Linked DNA regions of Caenorhabditis elegans. The protein of the gene in region 2 purifies or fractionates together with the protein of the main gene of each other region. This does not show direct contact. Each region holds a gene or a part of one and is shown on either strand. Other genes may lie near its edges.

Region 1 (8,683 bases), 9.1 Mb from region 2:
AAATGTTCCAGAACCTTCTGGGAATCCTTCTGGGAATTTCTGGAAAATTCTAGAATGTTCCAGAACCTTCTGGAAAATTCTGAAAAGCTTTAGAACCTTCTGGAAAACTCTAGAATGTTCCAGAACTTTCTAGAAAAATCGAGAAAATTCTGGAATGTTCCAGAACTTTCTAGAAAAATCGAGAAAATTCTGGAGTGACCCTTCGTGGTGAAACCCATCGTGGCGAGACCCATCGAGGTGAGACCCATCGTGGTGAGACCCGTCGTGGTGAGACCCACCGTGGTAAGACCCAAAATTTTGGCGGGAAATTTAAATTTTCTGCGAAAAATGTTTTAGCGGGAAATTTAAATTTTCTGAAAAAAATATTTTGGAGGGAAATTTAAATTTTCTGAAAAAATATTTTGGAGGGAAATTTAAATTTTCTGTGAAAAATATTTTGGCGGGTAATTTAAATTTTCGGAGAAAAAAATTTTGGAGGGAAATTTAAATTTTCTGAGAAAAATATTTTGGCGGGAAATTTAAATTTTCTCAAAATTCTAAAATTCTGGAAATCTAGAATCTTCTAGAAATTTCGAAAAAATTCTGGAATGTTCCAGAACTTTCTAGAAAAATCGAGAAAATTCTGGAAGTGTATGTGTGTCAAATACTTTTAATGGTGCCAGTCGTTGCCCGCGCCGTAGGCGCGGTCAGCGGCTGGTTATATATATATATATATATATAACCATCATCGAGCCCGTAGATCGAGATAATCGCTACAGTACCTATTTAAAGAATTACTGTAGTTTTCGCTACGAGATATATAGATATGTCAAATATGTTGTCCCATACGCATTCTCAGAATTTTCAGTTTCTGTAATACTTACGTCACAATAATTTTTCAGGCAAAAAATTTGTAAAACTCTGGAAAATCCTATTTTAGATAAAATTTCTTTGCTCACAATCATTATCAAATGACTTGATATGTTGAATAGCGTCGCCTGTATATTCGATATCCCAGATTTGAAATTTGTTCTTGAATCCGCCTATCAATGAGCTTCCACTTTGTCCGATGCTCATCGCCGCAGTGATATTGTCCTGCAAATATATTGAATTTTTTGTTTAATTTGGTGAAAATACGGGAAATTTTGACTTAAAAATCACTAAAAACGGTTGAAAATCGATTTTGGGTGAGGCTTAGACTACAAACTACAACTTTTTTAGCCTCAACCAGAATTGGTTGAGGCTCAGAAAATTGTAGTTTGTAGTCTAACTTTTATTGATTGTTTTTTATATAAATTTTAAGGGAAATTTTTTTAAAATGTTAAATTCTGAAACTTATCAAATTTGCAGAAAAACGACTATACTACAAACTACAAAATGGTTGAGGCTCAAAAAGTTGTAGTTTGTAGTCTCGAAATGAATTAATAGGCGAAGATTTTAATTTTTCGTGGTTTTTCGAGTTTTTGGCACAAATTTGATTAAAAAGCAGCTTTAATTTGAAAAAAAGTGAAACATTTCTTTTAGAGACTACAAACTACAACTTTTTCAGCCTCACCCAATATTGGTTGAGGCTCAGAAAATTGTAGTTTGTAGTCTGAGCCTCAATCAATGCATTTTTGTTTAAAAAATTAGCAATTTTCAGTTATTTTTAGAGGTTTTTGGCACAAATTTGATTAAAAAACAGATTTTAATTGAAAAAAAAGTGAAAAATTACTTTTAAAGACTACAAACTACAACTATTTTTAGCCTCACCCAATATTGGTTGGGGCTCAGAAAATTGTAGTTTGTAGTCTCTGAGCCTCAACCAATTTTTTTTGGATTTTTATGTAAAAATGTCAATTTTTAAGCATTTTTTTTTCGTTTTTTTTTTTGCAAAAAAAAAAACCAACCCCAGCATCTTTTCCATTATAAGCACCGAGAATACTTCCATTTTCCGTATCAAATAGCTGAATTGGACGCAGTTTTGACGACGAGAACACCCCTTTTCCAGAGTTTTCCCAACAAGAATCCAGCACCAAATTTCCCGTATTATGCTTCCATATCACTTCTGGCTGCAATTTTTAGCGTTATTTTACAGAAATTTTGGAAGAAAAACCGACAGTTTCATCTATTTTATACATTCTTATAAATCTATCCTGTGAAGCCACAAGAGCCCGGTTTCCCTGTTCATTTTGAATGGAAAAGTGCACAAAATTATTATTTTCCGTTGATTTATAGCCGAATTGAGCGTTGTACGAGTTGAAAGTGGCTTTATCGCTGAAAATTTCAGATTTTTTGACTTAAAATTCGAATTTTCAGATACCAAAATGTATTTTTAAGATTTGTGGGGATTTCGGCGATTTCTACAGGTTCTTGAGCTTTTTTCTTGACTTCTTGGTCAATTTCCTGCATTCTCTGGAGTTTTCGCTTCTCTTTTCGATTTAATGGGCGGTTTTCTGGGATTTCTTCGGGAATTTCTTCTGAAGCAGCAGCCTCTGTGGTCGATAGCTCATCGATTTTCGACGCAAGATGGTCACTGCGGAGCTAAAAAGCAAGCGGTTTTTCTTTGGAAAACAAGTGAAATTTAATTACCGAAGACAAAAGCGACGCTATCCCGCATCTTTCAGCGCGGAGAGACGGTTTTTTCTCCTCCAATTCTTGTGAGGACGACGATTCTTCGGTGTTCATCTGGAAAAAATCGATTTTTTTGGCGAAAAGTTCAAGTTTCAGTGATTTTTAATCGAAAAATTGAAAAAAGAAAAAAAACAAAAATTAAATTCCCCCTACTACGGTCTGCAATCGGGTACCTCCACACCAGACCTCACGCGCAATTGCGGACTCGCCCCCTGCGTTGGATTGTAAAATGCAAAAAATCAATAAAATTGCAGTGTTGTCACTGATTTTTCAGCTTTTTCTAGTGGATTTTCGTGATTTTTTGATTAAAAAATTCATTTTTTCACTAATAAGCGTCGTTTATTTCACTTATTCCACTTACTTTCACTGCTGAGCTGTAAAAAAAACTAAAAAACTCCAAAAAAAACGTCAAAAAATGAGGAATTTTTGCAGGGTGAGGCTCCAAGGATGGCGACGGCTGTCGAGCTAGCCATTGAGAAGATCGATGAGTATAAGTCGAAGATTGGAAGGTTTGTAACATTAAAAAACTCAAATTTTTGCGAAATTTCCCCAGTAAATTCTATTTTTTCAGAACTCTCGGCACTCCGATGCGGCTTCGAGACCTAATTCGGCAGGTCAGAGCGGCACGAACGATGGCTGAAGAGCGAGCAGTGGTGGATAGAGAAAGTGCGAATATTCGAGAAAGCTTCCGAGACGATGATTCTCCGTGGAAATGTAGAAATATCGCGAAATTGCTCTATATTCATATGCTCGGCTACCCAGCGCATTTTGGACAGGTTATTGAACCGTTTTTCGCCGGAAATTAAATTATTTGTTATTCAGATGGAGTGCATGAAACTGGTGGCTCACCCCCGATTCACTGACAAACGAATTGGGTATCTTGGAGCTATGCTTCTTCTCGATGAACGATCGGAAGTTCATATGCTCGTCACTAATTCGCTTAAAAAGTTAGCAAAAACCCATGAAAATGAAAAAATCTTGTTTAAAAGCTTTTTTTCTGCGATTTTTCTCATCAAAATTTGATTTTTTGAAGAAAAAGCAATTTTTAAAGGATTTTCAATGCAAAAATGAGATTTTACAGTAAAAAATGCTATAGAAAACAAAAAAATCCGAAGAATTATTATTTTGGTTGAGGCGTAGACTACAAACTACAACTTTTTTAGCCTCAACCAGCAGCTTTGGGGAGGCTGACAAAAGTTGTAGTTTGTAGCCTAAGCCTCAACCAAGATTTTTAACTTGATTTTGCTCATTTTTAGTGATTTTTCATCAATTTTTACTATTTTTCGAGCTAAAATTAGTGAATTTGGTTCTAAAAACTGGAATTTTTGCTTTAAAATTCACGATTTTGCTAGAAATCCAAATATAAAACGATTTCTTCCAACTTTGGTGAGGCTGACAGAAAGTTGTAGTTTGTAGTCTTAGCCTCAACTAATATTTTGCTCATTTTCAATGTTTTTCATCGAATTTTCACTATTTTTCGACGAAATAATAGAGAAATTGGTTGTAAAATCCGGAAATTGAGCAAAAAAGGTGAAAATTTTGCTAAAAATCCAAATTTTAAACGATTTGTTTTCCAATTTGGTGAGGCTGACAGAAGTTGTAGTTTGTAGCCTGAGCCTCAACTAATATTTTGCTCATTTTCAATGTTTTTCATCGAATTTTCACTATTTTTCGATACAATAAAAGCAAAAAATCCCAATTTCCGCGGAAAACTCTATTTTTTAAAACTAAATTCTTCATTTCCAGCGACCTCACCTGTTCCACCCAATTCGTCAGCGGACTAGCTCTCTGCACTCTGGGCTCAATTTGCTCAGCGGAAATGTGTCGAGACCTGGCCAACGAGGTTGAGAAGATCATCAAGCAGAACAATGCGTATTTAAAGAAAAAAGCGGCGCTCTGTGCGTTCCGTATCGTTCGAAAAGTGCCGGAGCTGATGGAAGTCTTCATTCCATGTACCCGATCGCTTCTGGGAGAGAAAAATCACGGAGTTTTGATGGGCGCAACGACTTTGGTCACAGAAATGTGCGAGAAATCTCCGGATGTCTTGAATCATTTTAAGAAATTGGTGCCGAATTTGGTACGGATTCTAAAGAATCTTCTAATGAGTGGATATTCGCCGGAACACGACGTCACCGGCATCTCTGACCCGTTCCTTCAGGTCAAAATTCTGAGATTATTGAGAGTTTTGGGGAAGGATGACGTACGTGTCACTGAAGAGATGAATGATATTCTGGCGCAAGTGGCAACGAATACGGAAACGGCGAAAAATGTCGGAAACGCGATTCTCTATGAGACTGTACTCACGATTATGGAGATTAAGAGCGAGAGTGGCCTGCGCATTTTGGCTGTGAACATTCTTGGACGATTCCTTTTGAATACGGATAAGAATATTCGATATGTGGCGTTGAATACGCTTCTGAAGACTGTTCATGTTGATTATCAGGTTGGATTTTGTGGAAAAAAAAAAAAGGAAAAAATGGCGATTTTGGCTCAAAAATTGAGGTTTTGGCGGTGGGTTGAGGCTGAAAAAGTGTGTAGTTTGTAGTGTGAGAGCCTCAACTAAATTTATTTCATTTTATTTCTGTTGTTAATTTTAATAGAATTTTTTAAAAAATTATTCTGATGAGTTTTCAAAATGAAAATCGCATGTTTTAGTAAAAATTGTCGAGAAAAACAAGTTTTTCAACGAATTTTCGAATTTTGTAGCTTGGTTGAGGCTCACACACTACAAACTACACTTTTTCTAGCCTCAACCAAATTTGGGGAGGCTGTGGAGTTGTAGTTTGTATTGTGAGCCTCACTCAATTTCAGTTCATTTTTTGTTTATTTTAACAGAATTTTGAAAATTCAGTTTTCAACATGAAAATCGCCTAAAACTTGTCCGGAAAACCAAGTTTTTTGACAAATTTGCAGCTTGGTTGAGGCTCACGCACTACAAACTACACTTTTTCTAGCCTCAACCAGATTTGATGAGGCTGTGGAGTTGTAGTTTGTAGTGTGAGCCTCAACCAAATTTATTTTTAGTTTTCTATTCCGTTTTCGACGTGAAACTTAGCTTTTTAGTAAAATTTTGCCTAAAAAATCAGTTTTTCAATAAATTATTCCATTTTGCAGCTCAAACTGTGTAAATAATAATTGGTTGAGGCTTACACTACAAACTACACTTTTTCTAGCCTCAACCAAGTTTTTAGAGGCTGTGGAGTTGTAGTTTGTAGTGGGAGCCTCATTCAATTTCATTTTTTTCCGTTTTGAACGTGAAACTTAGCTTTTTTAGTACAATTTTCCCCCCAAAAAAACCCAGTTTTTCATAAAATTTCATATTTTGCAGGCCAAACTGTCCAAGTGATAATTGGTTGAGGCTCACGCACTGCAAACTACACTTTTTCTAGCCTCAACCAAGTTTGGGGAGGCTGAAGAAATGTGTAGTTTGTAGTGTGAGCCTCAACCAATTTCAGTTCATTTTCTGTTTATTTTATTAAAATTTTTCCGTTTAATACAAAATTTTCAATTTTATGATGAGTTTTCCACATGGAAATCACCTAATTTAATGAAAATTGTCCGGAAAATCAAGTTTTTCAACGAATTTTTGAATTTTGTAGCTTGATTGAGGCTCACGCACTACAAACTACACTTTTTCTAGCCTCAACCAGATTTGATGAGGCTGTGGAGTTGTAGTTTGTAGTGTGAGCCTCACTCAATTTTTTATATTAAGAATTTTTGGAAACTTTAAATTCCTTTTTTAAATTCAAATTTTACGTTTTCTATCGAGCTTTAACAATAAATTTTTTTTAGTTTATAGACTACAAACTACACATTTTATAGCCTCAACCATTTTTTAAAAAGAAATTTCTAATCAGTTTTAACCTAAAAATATATAATTTTCTCCCGAGTTTTTTTTGTTAATTTCAATGTTTTTTTCAGGCCGTACAACGTCACCGTAACGTAGTCGTTGAATGTCTCAAAGATCCGGATATTTCGATCAGAAAACGTGCAATGGAGCTCTGCTTTGCTCTGATGAACCGTACAAATATCGCAATAATGACGAAAGAAGTGCTCATTTTCCTCGAGACCGCCGACGCTGAATTCAAATCGGAATGTGCTTCACGAATGTATATTGCAACGGAAAGATATTCGCCGAATCATGAATGGCATTTGGATACGATGATTACTGTACTTAGATTGGTACGGTAGTTTTTTTGGATAAATTTCCTTGAAAAAATGGATAAAATTGGCGAAATTTGGCTCTAAAAGTCCAAAAAACTAGAAATCTCACGAAAAATCGAAGCAGACTACAAACTACAATATTTTGGGCCTCAACCAGAATTGGTTGAGGCTCAGAAAATTGTAGTTTGTAGTCTAACTTTTATTGATTGTCTTTTATATAAATTTTACGGGAAATTTTTTTTAAATGTTAAATTCCGAAACTTATCAAATTTGCAGAAAAACGACTATACTACAAACTACAAAATGGTTGAGGCTCAAAAAGTTGTAGTTTGTAGTCTCTCGAAATGAATTAATAGGCGAAAATTTTGATTTTTCGTGGTTTTTCGAGTTTTTAATTGTAAAAATGAGGAAAATTATCCGATATTGTAGAAAAAATCGAATAATTTTTAGATTTTCCTGACCTTTTTGAAATTAAAACTTCATATCCGAAAAATGAGAAAAAAATCAATTTTGGTTGAGGCTAGTGGCTACAAACTACAATTTTGCAAAGCTAGAATTACGGAAATTTGTCCCAAATCATTTTTTTTTTTGAATTAATTTTGAATTCTTCCCGCGCAAATTAAACACACAATACGTATTTTATGACTTTTTTCCTTTAAAAAATTGAAAAAAAATGCCGACATAAATTGGGTGAGGCTCACACTACAAACTACAAAAACGCTGAGCCTCAACCAATTTTTTTGTAAATTTTTAAATGCCGCATTTTTGTGTTTTTTTTTTTGCTTTCTTTAATAATATGTCTTTGAAATCAAAATAAATTTGTAAATCCCGAAAATTTAGAAAAAATTGCTGAAAACTCACATTTTTTGGCCGAAAAGCTATCTTTTTAATGATAAGAGTTGCGATTTTTCTCACACTACAAACTACAAAAACGCTGAGCCTCAACCTATTTTTTTTTCCAAATTTTTAAATAGCGCATTTTTGTGTTTTTTATTTTTTTTTCTTAAAGAATATGTCTTTGAAATTAAAATAAATTAGTAAGTACCCAAAATTTGGAGAAAAAATTCCTAAAAACACACATTTTTGGCCCAAAAACTACTTTTTTAGTGCTAGAAGCTTTGAAAATGCCAAAAGTTCAGAAAAAAAAGTTTTTTTTAAATCGATTTTTGTCAAAAAAAAAATTCGCAAAACGCGTATTTCAGTTTTTTTTGCCGAAAATTATGAAAAATGTTGAAAAATAAATGTCAATTTTTTTTAATTTTCGAAAAATTTAGAAAAATTTTTTAAATTTTTCTCACAATTATATTCGATGCATTTTTTTTTTTCAAAAATTCTGAATTTTCATTCATTTTGTAACGATTTTTTGTTTAATTTACCAAAAAAAAAATTATTAAAAATGTGATTTTACTAGAAAAAACGCCGACAAAAATTGGTTGAGGCTCACACTACAAACTACAAAATCGCTGAGCCTCAACCAATTTTTTTTTCAATTTTCGAATGGCGCATTTTTGTGTTTTCTCTTCATTAATATGCCTTTTAATTTAAAATAAATTAGTAAATTCCAAAAATGGAAAAAATTGCGCTGACAACATACATTTTTGGCCCAAAAGCTATCTTTTTAATGCTAAAAGTTGGGAAAATGCCGAAAATTTAGAAAAAAAAATCGGTTTTAATAGGTTTATGCCCGAAAAAAATTGTCAAAAACGCGTATTTCAGTTTTTTTTTGCCTAAAAATTCTATAAAATGGTTAAAATACGCCAAGAAAATGAGTGAGGCTCACACTACAAACTACAAAATCGCTGAGCCTCAACCAATTTTTGATTAAAAAATGTTTCAATGTCACAATTTCGTGTTTTTTAAATTTTTTGGAAAAATTATTTCAAATTAAAAAAAAAAAAAATTGGCCTAGAAATTTCTGAAAATTTAG
Region 2 (9,026 bases):
CTTTGCAAGAGGATGGCAATATTCAGTATAACAATGTTAAAGTTACACATGTACGTGGTAACGGGTATAACGCAAATCGAAAAGGAATTTCTGTATCTTCGCTCCAACCAGTATCTAATCAATCCAAAAATAGAACTGTGTGAGTTTGTTATTCCTAGCTCTTTTTTCGTACTGAAAATGTCAAAAACTTTCTTCATATATCCGATATTCAGCGTCCGAGGAAGAGCACGTGCCGCAGGAGTTCTTGGATTACTTTTTGGAAATAGACAACAAATAGGATATAACAATGTTTACGGTAATGGGTACTACGGTAATGGATACAATAATGGATATTATGGTAATGGATACTACGGTAATGGTTACGGTAATGGATATGGTAATGGCTATTACAATCAATATAATGGAGGATATGGTGGCAACGGCTACTACAACCAATATTACAATGGAAATAACTATTATGGAGGAAATAGAGGATATTACAACTATAACCAAGGTCAAAGTTACTGTAGAGGTTAGACAATTGAATATTTTAGTTTCCCATTCAATTTTAAAAGTTTCAGTTGCACAATTTGTGGATTATGTTGGCTCAACGCCTCGTTACTACTGTGATTGCCCGCCATATGCACCAAATTATCAATGGAATCAGTGTTCTCCAATGTCTGGTTACTACGGAAAGAAATGATTTTAAAAAATTGATTCTAATTGAAGAATGCAGATATAACTAGAATGAAGTAACAATAAACCTTTTCCTATTGAACTTCACAAAAGTATCCTTGTACAAATCGTTTAAACGCAAATAGCCTAGAAAAAACTATGCCAGAGATATTTTTGAAAATTTTCTGAAAATATCTTCAAACTGTTGCTTTAATTCTATTGAGCCGATTATTGAAGAAAAACTCATTCAGTTATTTATTTATATTGCAGCTTCTTCCCCAACTCTTGCCAACCACGCCCAGAGTTTCCCAAGTCGAGTAATAAGAAAGTTATTGGAAAACTCAAGGATATTTGGTAGGAATTTTGAATAAACTTTAATAATTTTCTGTTTTCAACAGTTATCTCTCAACACTAAATCAAAACTACAACAGAAATAACATTTCGACCTAAACGAAAATTGAAAAGTTGAACCTTTTCTATCAAAACTTAATTAAATTTTTTTCAATTCAAAAATCTTCCGACAATAGGCGGTCAAGATCAAACTATACCGCATTCTTCTCTATCTGATTTGATCACTCATCTAAAAACAAGCCTAGAGAGATGACCAAATGGTTTGGTTTTCGCTAAATCAGAAAATTAAGTTCCTCGCGGGAATTCGTCAAATCAATACATCGCAGCTACCCTATAAAAGTTGACTGACCATTGTGAAAAACTAGATCAAAAGACCATGCGTAGGAGTATTTTATTATGTATGCTTCTTAATTGTTTAGCCTATTTTGTTGGTAAGTGTAGCTTGAACGAATTCGGTTTTTGAGGTTTATATATTATATCTGATTGAATTTTTTTTTTTCAACATAAAAAATTTCGCAGTTTTGAAACTCCTAGGGCAATTACTTTATAAGAATCGCTATTTACTCTAGCATTTAAGTTTTTAAAACCGTTTGGAGTAACTTTCGAACGTTTTTTTGTATGTTTTGATTTTCTCTCGGTGTTCCTTACCGAACTGTAGGGCTACAGTAGTTAGATTTCTTTATATGCCAGCCAGGGCCTTAAGCCCAATGTCAGTCTTTTCTCACAAACCAAAACTCTCAAGGAATTCTTTTTTTTTTCAGTTGAATCTGATGCTCAACGAGGCGGTGGTCGTGGTGGCGGCGGGAGCCGAGGTGGTGGTGGTCGAGGTGGCGGCGGAAGAGGTGGAGGTGGCGGTCGCGGTGGCGGAGGCCGCGGAGGCGGCTGGGGAGGCGGGCGAGGTGGAGGACGTGGAGGATGGGGTGAAGGACGTGGAAGAGGTGGATGGGGAGGTGGAAGAGGAGGTAGTGGATGGCATAACTCGCATAGTCATGAAAGCTCCGGTTCTAGTTGGCATCCAACGTATTATAACAGAAATAATTACTATGGGTGAGCTATTTTTTTCTAGAAGATACTTTCAGATGAACTTCGACGGCGTTGAATCTTTAACTTTGATGTAAAAATTTGCAATATGCATTTATGTTTCCGTTTTTAGATCATCCAAAAAATCAAAAAAAAAATTCTAAATTTTAGCGGCTGGGGACGACCACGCGGTCCAGGACTCCTGGGTCTACTTTTCGGATTTGGGAGGCGTGGTGGATATGGCGGAGGAGGTGGATATGGTTATCAGCCTCAAGGATACTGTAGAGGTTAGATTAAATGCTACACAATTTCAGTTAACCCATACAATTTTCAGTTGCTCAATTCGTTGATTACGTCGGCCCAACGGCTCGTTACTACTGTGATTGTCCACCGTATCCACCAAATTATCAATGGACTCAGTGTACATATTTGCCTATAAAAAGTACAAACTTTTGATTAATTGGTTTAATTTTTGATGTGGAGAGTACAAATGAAGTTCAATTTTTTTTAATTTGTTGATGAAACGGCCGCTCTTTTTCATTTGAAGTTGAAACTTCAATGCATACCTGAAACTGGAAATGAAGGATTTTGTAATCCTTGGCCTTGTAACATAGACTTTAACTTTAAAAACTCAAGTTCTTATCGGAAACTTTGTTTATATTTAACTCCGAATTCAATAAATAACTCTGAAAAACGAACAAAAAAAAGGAAAGATACAAGAAACCAGGGGATGAAAAGCGTTGAAAAGAGCAACAAAAGACAATATCACAGTTAATAAATTACTAGTTTTTTTCTCTCTCGGAATAAAATTAAACATTAAAAAAAAAATATAAGGCACCCAAGGGACCGAATGGCGGGGGAATTGAATAGAACAAAAATTACAGGGATGACTGTTTTGGCTTGAAGGTGGCTTGAAGGATATTGGGAACAGAAAGCTTCTTATTAGGTCATTCTCATTTGATAATCTCCGTTTTGAGTAACATATCGTACCCATGGAAGTGCTTGATATCCAGATTTCTCTATGATTTTTAAATATCGAACCTGGAAGAATATGTTGAATAATTGAAACTAGAGTTAACGACTTACTTGTAGTCCGGAAGTTGTGTAGTAAGGAATTTCAAATTTAACATTGATTGGCGGACGGCCTTCCAGCTCTTCGGAGCCAATTGATGGGAGCATGAACGAAGATCTCATTATATATTCACGGCCTCCTGGAACAATTCAACAATGTTATTAAAAGTTAAGATAACTATACCAAAGGTAAAGATAATATAGAAAAAAAAAATTTCGGACAGAATTTTTTTTCTGTATTGAACAGTTTTCCAACAAATATGCATAACATTTCTATTGAGCTGACTGAAGCATCAAAGTTAAAGTTTTCAATAAAATATTTAAAACTATAGTAAACTATTTGAAAATATTTCTGACTTGATGCTCACCTGGGAAGCTTCGAATACTCCAAACAATAGCATTAAGCTCTGGAACATATTTTGCTGTACCTGCTCCAGTTTTAAATTTTGGAGCACTGACGTCGGATGGAACAGGGATAATAACTTCGACATGATTGGCAACAGATTGACGTTTGAATTGAGATTTCGCCTGGAAAGTAGAGATTCTATAATTCATAATTTGGAAGTGAAAGTAATCACTTTAACCATATATTCAACTCTTGAATGTGCATGTCTCTCAACTGCAGCCTCAACCCAAATCAATGGTTTAACTTGTGTTGTCAATCGATAACTCATCAGCTCAAATTCTCCATCCGGTGGAATAAAAGAAATGGTTCTTTCGGAATCAAAGCGAGATAAACGGACACATTGATGGAATTTGATATCTTCCAATTCGACTCCTTTTCCACTGTTACCACGTCCTACAATTCAATATTTGATACTATTTTACAATTTCAACACTTACTAGAACTTGCACCAGATTGCTGGAAGAACACCTTGTCATTAAGTCCAAGTCGAAGTTCCGGCATTCCAGAAAGAACAACACGGAATCGAATTGAACCAACGATTTCTGAACGGAGTACGGTTCCTTGAGCATTTGCCTAGAAATTTGGTTATTAGGCTTTTTAAAACGGGACTTTGTTTCGGAAGTATAACTATAAAAATATTAACAGCTCACCAGCATATTAACACTTTCAATAACATCGAGAAAAACTTCATTTTTCCGATATTTGATCCCTTCTGATCTCCATGAAACCGCGTTTGTGACTGCCATGGGTGGACGAACTGTCTCCAAACGATTACCTTGTTGTGTTATGAATCTGAAATTTTAAAATAGTTGTGAATGAAATCTAGGTGTAGGTACTTCATCTAGATCCTAAAATCCTTTAGGCGCCTCTTCATCGCTTTTTTAATAACTCACTCTTGAAGAATCTTGCTCTCCGTTGTCTGTGGATATCCAAAATCGAGCATTTCGTCGAAAAGTTCATAAATAATAACGAAATTATCGCGAACAGCTTCTTCCTCCAATGTTTTGAAATATTCGCAGAAAACCTCGACAATTTTGTAAAGAGCCGACAATACAAGAATCACATTCGTGTTTTTCTTCGAAATCGTCACCACTGAAAATCTTTTATTTTAATCTTTGTGTAGGATTATTTTTTCAAAAGTTGAAACTTACAGTAAACATTCATATATTTAATATATGTATAACTAATTCCTTGATGCACTAATACTGGAGATGCACTTCCTTCGTCTTCCTTTTCAACCAACAGTGGCATAAACTTTTCGATACACGACATATCCACATCTCCGCGGTAATTCCTCGATATTACTACCTTTAAAAATAATTTTTAGGATGTTTTGTTTTGAGGTTCCATTCAATTTGATTGATATTTGACTGCTTTTCAGTATTTCTGTGCTTGTCTAAAAAAGTTTGCGCGTACAACGAAGCGCCGAATGTGCAGATGCACAGAATACTACGACAGTGAACTTTTTGAAAAACGAAGTGCTTCGCCGGAAATTTCCGTTCGATTTTTTCATTTTTCGTTGGTTTTCCTTCAAATTTACTGAATTTTTATTTTTTTACAACATTCATTTTGTTCTAAACAGTTATTTCTGTGCTAAATTCATATATTTAACTCGCCTGCCTATCAAAAAATCATTGTGAAACTCACATTTCCTTTGAGGTCCAAGATGAAGAGACCGGAAATCGACATGTCGATTTCTCTGGGTAATCCTGTAATTTAAAATTGTTCCAAAATGTTTTAATATATGTTTTAAAAGCGGTAAACGTGGAAATCTGAAACAATACGTCGAGAATGTGTGGAATAGTGAGCGCGTGAACTTTAAAATTACTCGAAATAGTTTTCACGGCGAAACATTTTGGAAATTTGTTTGTCTCGTTTGCTATTCGAAAAGTTGCAGAGTTGAAAACATGTAATTAAGATATATTTTCGGATTTTAAATATAAAATTCATGTCACTGTGTTATTAATAGAGTTGATCAAGTTTAAAAACAGCCTAAAAAATTAAAGTCGGGAGGAAAGTATTTTGAAATATGTTACTGAAAGGGAAGTTTCTTAATATACGTGTCATTGTATAAATTATTAGAAAAATCGTTTATTCAGACTTTTATAAAGTTTTAGATCAGATAATGACGCGTCATCTTGATGCCCCTTAAATCTAAAACATCTGGCAAAACGTGGAAGCCGTAATAGACTGTCGAGATGTGAGAGGGCTTTCTAGTGAAGCAGAGAAACGAACTGATAGTGGAGAGAAAAATTGGGAATGGATTGAAAATGGAAAAGAAAGGTGTGCGGGAAGAGATGGAGAATGGAATAGAAAGAGAGAACAAATATTGTATTGTATGCAGTCACCGAAAGAGGCGCACCGTCTATAGGTGTCCGCAAAACTATTCACTATCTGAGTCTCTTCGTTTTTCCTTATGCTTCATGATTCTCTTTAAATATCGTACTCTCTTCAATGTAGAGAATCTCTCTCTCATGATGATTTGCCATCGTGATCAGAATATTTATTGATTGAGTAATTGCATATTAGCAGAATATCTCTAAAAAAAGGAAATAGTTCATTAAAAAAATAATTTTTCGATTTTATGCACTTTCACACTTCACTAAATTCTAAGGGTAGAAGCTTTGTAATTATCCAAAAAGAAGGAATGTGATACAGCATTTTCGTAGCAACGAAGAGAAGGTCCCGGTTGCTAGGCTAGAAGCTGAGCGGATTATCCGGATTGAGAGGGAAACAAGGAATTGTGAGAACCTGTAATTATAGCACATATAATTGAGTTTTTTTCTGCTGCGAGTTCTAAAAAATTAAAATCTAAGTGAATTTATTTGATCAATTAAAACAAAAATTATCTCTTTGTGCTCTTTTTTGAATTTTCTAATCAAAATATTCAAACTGTTTAGAAAAATTACAGAATGGTGCTGAACGATTCGTTTTCGGCACTTTTCTCGTCTCCCGCTTCACTCAAAAAGGCGAATGACAGTTTCAATGAATCCTTCGGTGATAAGGTATTTAATATGCCCACATAAATAAAAAATTAACTTTATTTTCAGAATACTCTCTCTCCATCCACAATTTTCCGAAGTCTTCAAAAAGAGCATGATCAGATTTCATCAGTTTTGCGATCGCATCCACCAACAACGGCTCAATATCAAAATTCACTGAACGAGTGGGTTTTTAATTAGCCTTAATTTTATATTTATTTTGCTTTTCAGATTGGTTTCTCTCTACGAACGGGCCGAAGATCAGTCAACATTCGGATTACAGAAGCTCGTTCTCTCAGTTTTTCTGAAACTCGCCGCAAACATTCTCAGTGTGCTCGGAAAGGTTAGCACTGAAGAAAAAACTTCAAACTTCTTCAAATAAATAAATAAAAACCAGTTTTCTTTGTTTAAATCTCATAATTTCAGCCAAATCACCAACCGACACTCTACAAGTTATCCCAACTTCTCGCTTCATCGATTGTTCCCGATTTGAGTCCTGAACATGAAATCGAGGAGATACATATGCAGCAGTGGGCTGATCGAGTTGTTATTGGTGAGAATTTTAAATAAAATGTATTAAAATAAATTATTAAATAATTTCAGAGTGCTCAATTCATCTTGCCAAGTTTACAAACTACAGAATCGACCTTGCTTTTGTAATATTTTCAGATTTATTCGTCTAATTTTCAAGTGAATAAGCTGTCTTTTTTTCAGAACATTGACAGTATCGTTGATGATTTGGTGTTAGCTAGCGGTCGATTTCAGTTCGTAAAATCTTCGATTTTCGAGTAAGAATTTCAAAAGAATTCTGCAATTTTCTTGCATTCTTCAGAGCTGCCCGTGATATTGTATCAAGTGAACAAATGGACCTCAACGCGATAATCACTCCAGAATCGAAATTCAGTTTATCAAATCTTGGCGATGAGCAGACGCTGAGGCTTCTTCTGTGGCTTTATTTATTTCAGAAATCAATGTTGAAAAGTGAATTTCTTTCATCGCTTTTCTCAAATCTTCCATCAACTTTGAATGCACAGGAGTATATGAAAAGTGCAGAATGCTCAATGTTGGATGTCAAAGTGAGTGATAAAATTCAATATTTCTTCTAAAACTCAAAATAATTTTTCATTTTTTCAGCTTTACATCGTAACATTATCTACAGTTGCCTCAACTACAACAGAATCTGGAATGACAATGAAATCAGCTCCAGTTGTTGCTTCACAATTATCTCTCACGAAGCGTCAGAAAGATTGTTGGAAAGCAATTGTTGATGCTTGTGCTGGGTTTGTTCTTTTCTTTGATTTCAAATTCTCACCGGTCCGAAGGCATTCCAGAAAAACCGTCGCTGCTCTTTCACGCCTTCGCACTTCACAACTCGTCGAGGCGGTTCGTTTAATTTCAGACTCATCGGAAGATGTTCAAGTATTGTTCGAAGCGTGGAAGCACTGTCTTCAACCATCAGCTGCTCACGATGATAATGTTCATGAGGCAATTCAAGTTGTCACTGAAAAATATAGAACCAAAATCAATAGTCTTCTTTGTTATGGGTAAGATTAAAAAATGAAATTACTCTGAAATTACGTTTTAATATTTCAGCCCGTTCTACTCAACAGCTCCAGTATCTTCCATGAAGCAAAGTACAGTAACCCGTCGAGATATGAAAGCTCTCTTTCCATTGCCATTTGACTATGAATACATTAATACAACTGAATCCGAACATATAGGAACTATCATCAATAGTCTGTAAGTTGGAAATAATAAGGAAATCTAGATCGAAGAAAAATAGTTTGTTGGTTTTCTGCAATGAAATTTCTTTAAAAAATGTTTTTGGTGGCCCAAAGTTTTGAAAAAAAAAACCAAAAGTTGCGAAAATCTGAAGTTTCGCAGTTTTTAATTGAATCTAAAAATTTCCAGTATTGGATGTCTGTCGACTGAAAATATTCAAAAAAGAGTGCTAATTCAATTTTGGCGGAATTTCAGATTTTAACAAATAAAAAATCCAAAACCTCTACTCCTTCAAATGGAATATTATTATTTATTTTTCAGTGAAGGATATTCAAATGTGGAAGCATCAGAAGAAGCAGAAGAAGACGATGAAGATATTTTGTGTGCATCAAATGATTTTTCATTTCGTGATGAAGACATATTCCATAGCTTTGATACTGCTCCTGATAACTTATCATCTGCTGACAATTCAATGTTTTTTTCTCCACTAAAACATAATCGTGATTCAATGCTTCCTTCAGCAGTTTCACAGTTGATTCGTGATGAATCGATTCTAAATTCATCTCATATTTCAACAAAATCTGTGATTTTGACTCCAACACGTGCATCTTATATTCCTGGAACTGTTCAAACTTCAGAACTCTCTTTTGAACGTAAGTTGCGAACTCTTGGAATAAAATATAACTTATCCAATTTCTAGGTCATCAAAATGTCGCCATAAGTACTCCATCGAAAAAGGAATCATTCGACTCTTCTGATGAAGATGAAGAAGATGATGAAATGGAAGCAGCACTTTTAAAATCTGCACAACGTCATGAGAA

Evidence for each region.
Region 1: the proteins of apm-1 (region 2) and apg-1 fractionate together in Caenorhabditis elegans (co-fractionation; one large-scale study listed by BioGRID). This does not show direct contact.

What each region holds. Positions count from the first base shown.
Region 1 is NC_003279.8:14,403,004-14,411,686, forward strand, and holds the start of apg-1 (AP-1 complex subunit gamma), read left to right. Parts: upstream 1-3,024; 5' UTR 3,025-3,039; coding exon 3,040-3,101; intron 3,102-3,163; coding exon 3,164-3,368; intron 3,369-3,414; coding exon 3,415-3,539; intron 3,540-4,338; coding exon 4,339-5,035; intron 5,036-6,513; coding exon 6,514-6,774; intron 6,775-8,683. Other genes in the region: tcab-1 (WD_REPEATS_REGION domain-containing protein), read right to left, coding at 939-1,074, 1,869-2,030, 2,079-2,235, 2,282-2,502, 2,551-2,646.
Region 2 is NC_003279.8:5,339,514-5,348,539, forward strand, and holds apm-1 (MHD domain-containing protein), read right to left. Parts: upstream 5,212-9,026; 5' UTR 5,192-5,211; coding exon 5,150-5,191; intron 5,142-5,149; exon of another isoform or gene 4,920-5,141; intron 4,811-4,919; coding exon 4,654-4,810; intron 4,595-4,653; coding exon 4,396-4,594; intron 4,295-4,395; coding exon 4,153-4,294; intron 4,076-4,152; coding exon 3,940-4,075; intron 3,896-3,939; coding exon 3,675-3,895; intron 3,625-3,674; coding exon 3,465-3,624; intron 3,237-3,464; coding exon 3,112-3,236; intron 3,067-3,111; coding exon 2,968-3,066; 3' UTR 2,667-2,967; downstream 1-2,666. Other genes in the region: F55A12.6 (Prion-like-(Q/N-rich)-domain-bearing protein), read left to right, coding at 1-139, 213-511, 561-682; F55A12.18 (Glycine-rich protein DOT1-like), read left to right, coding at 1,382-1,436, 1,767-2,052, 2,197-2,312, 2,360-2,481; F55A12.5 (Telomere_reg-2 domain-containing protein), read left to right, coding at 6,415-6,507, 6,553-6,668, 6,715-6,826, 6,910-7,036, 7,087-7,139, 7,198-7,271, 7,316-7,559, 7,618-7,763 and 4 more.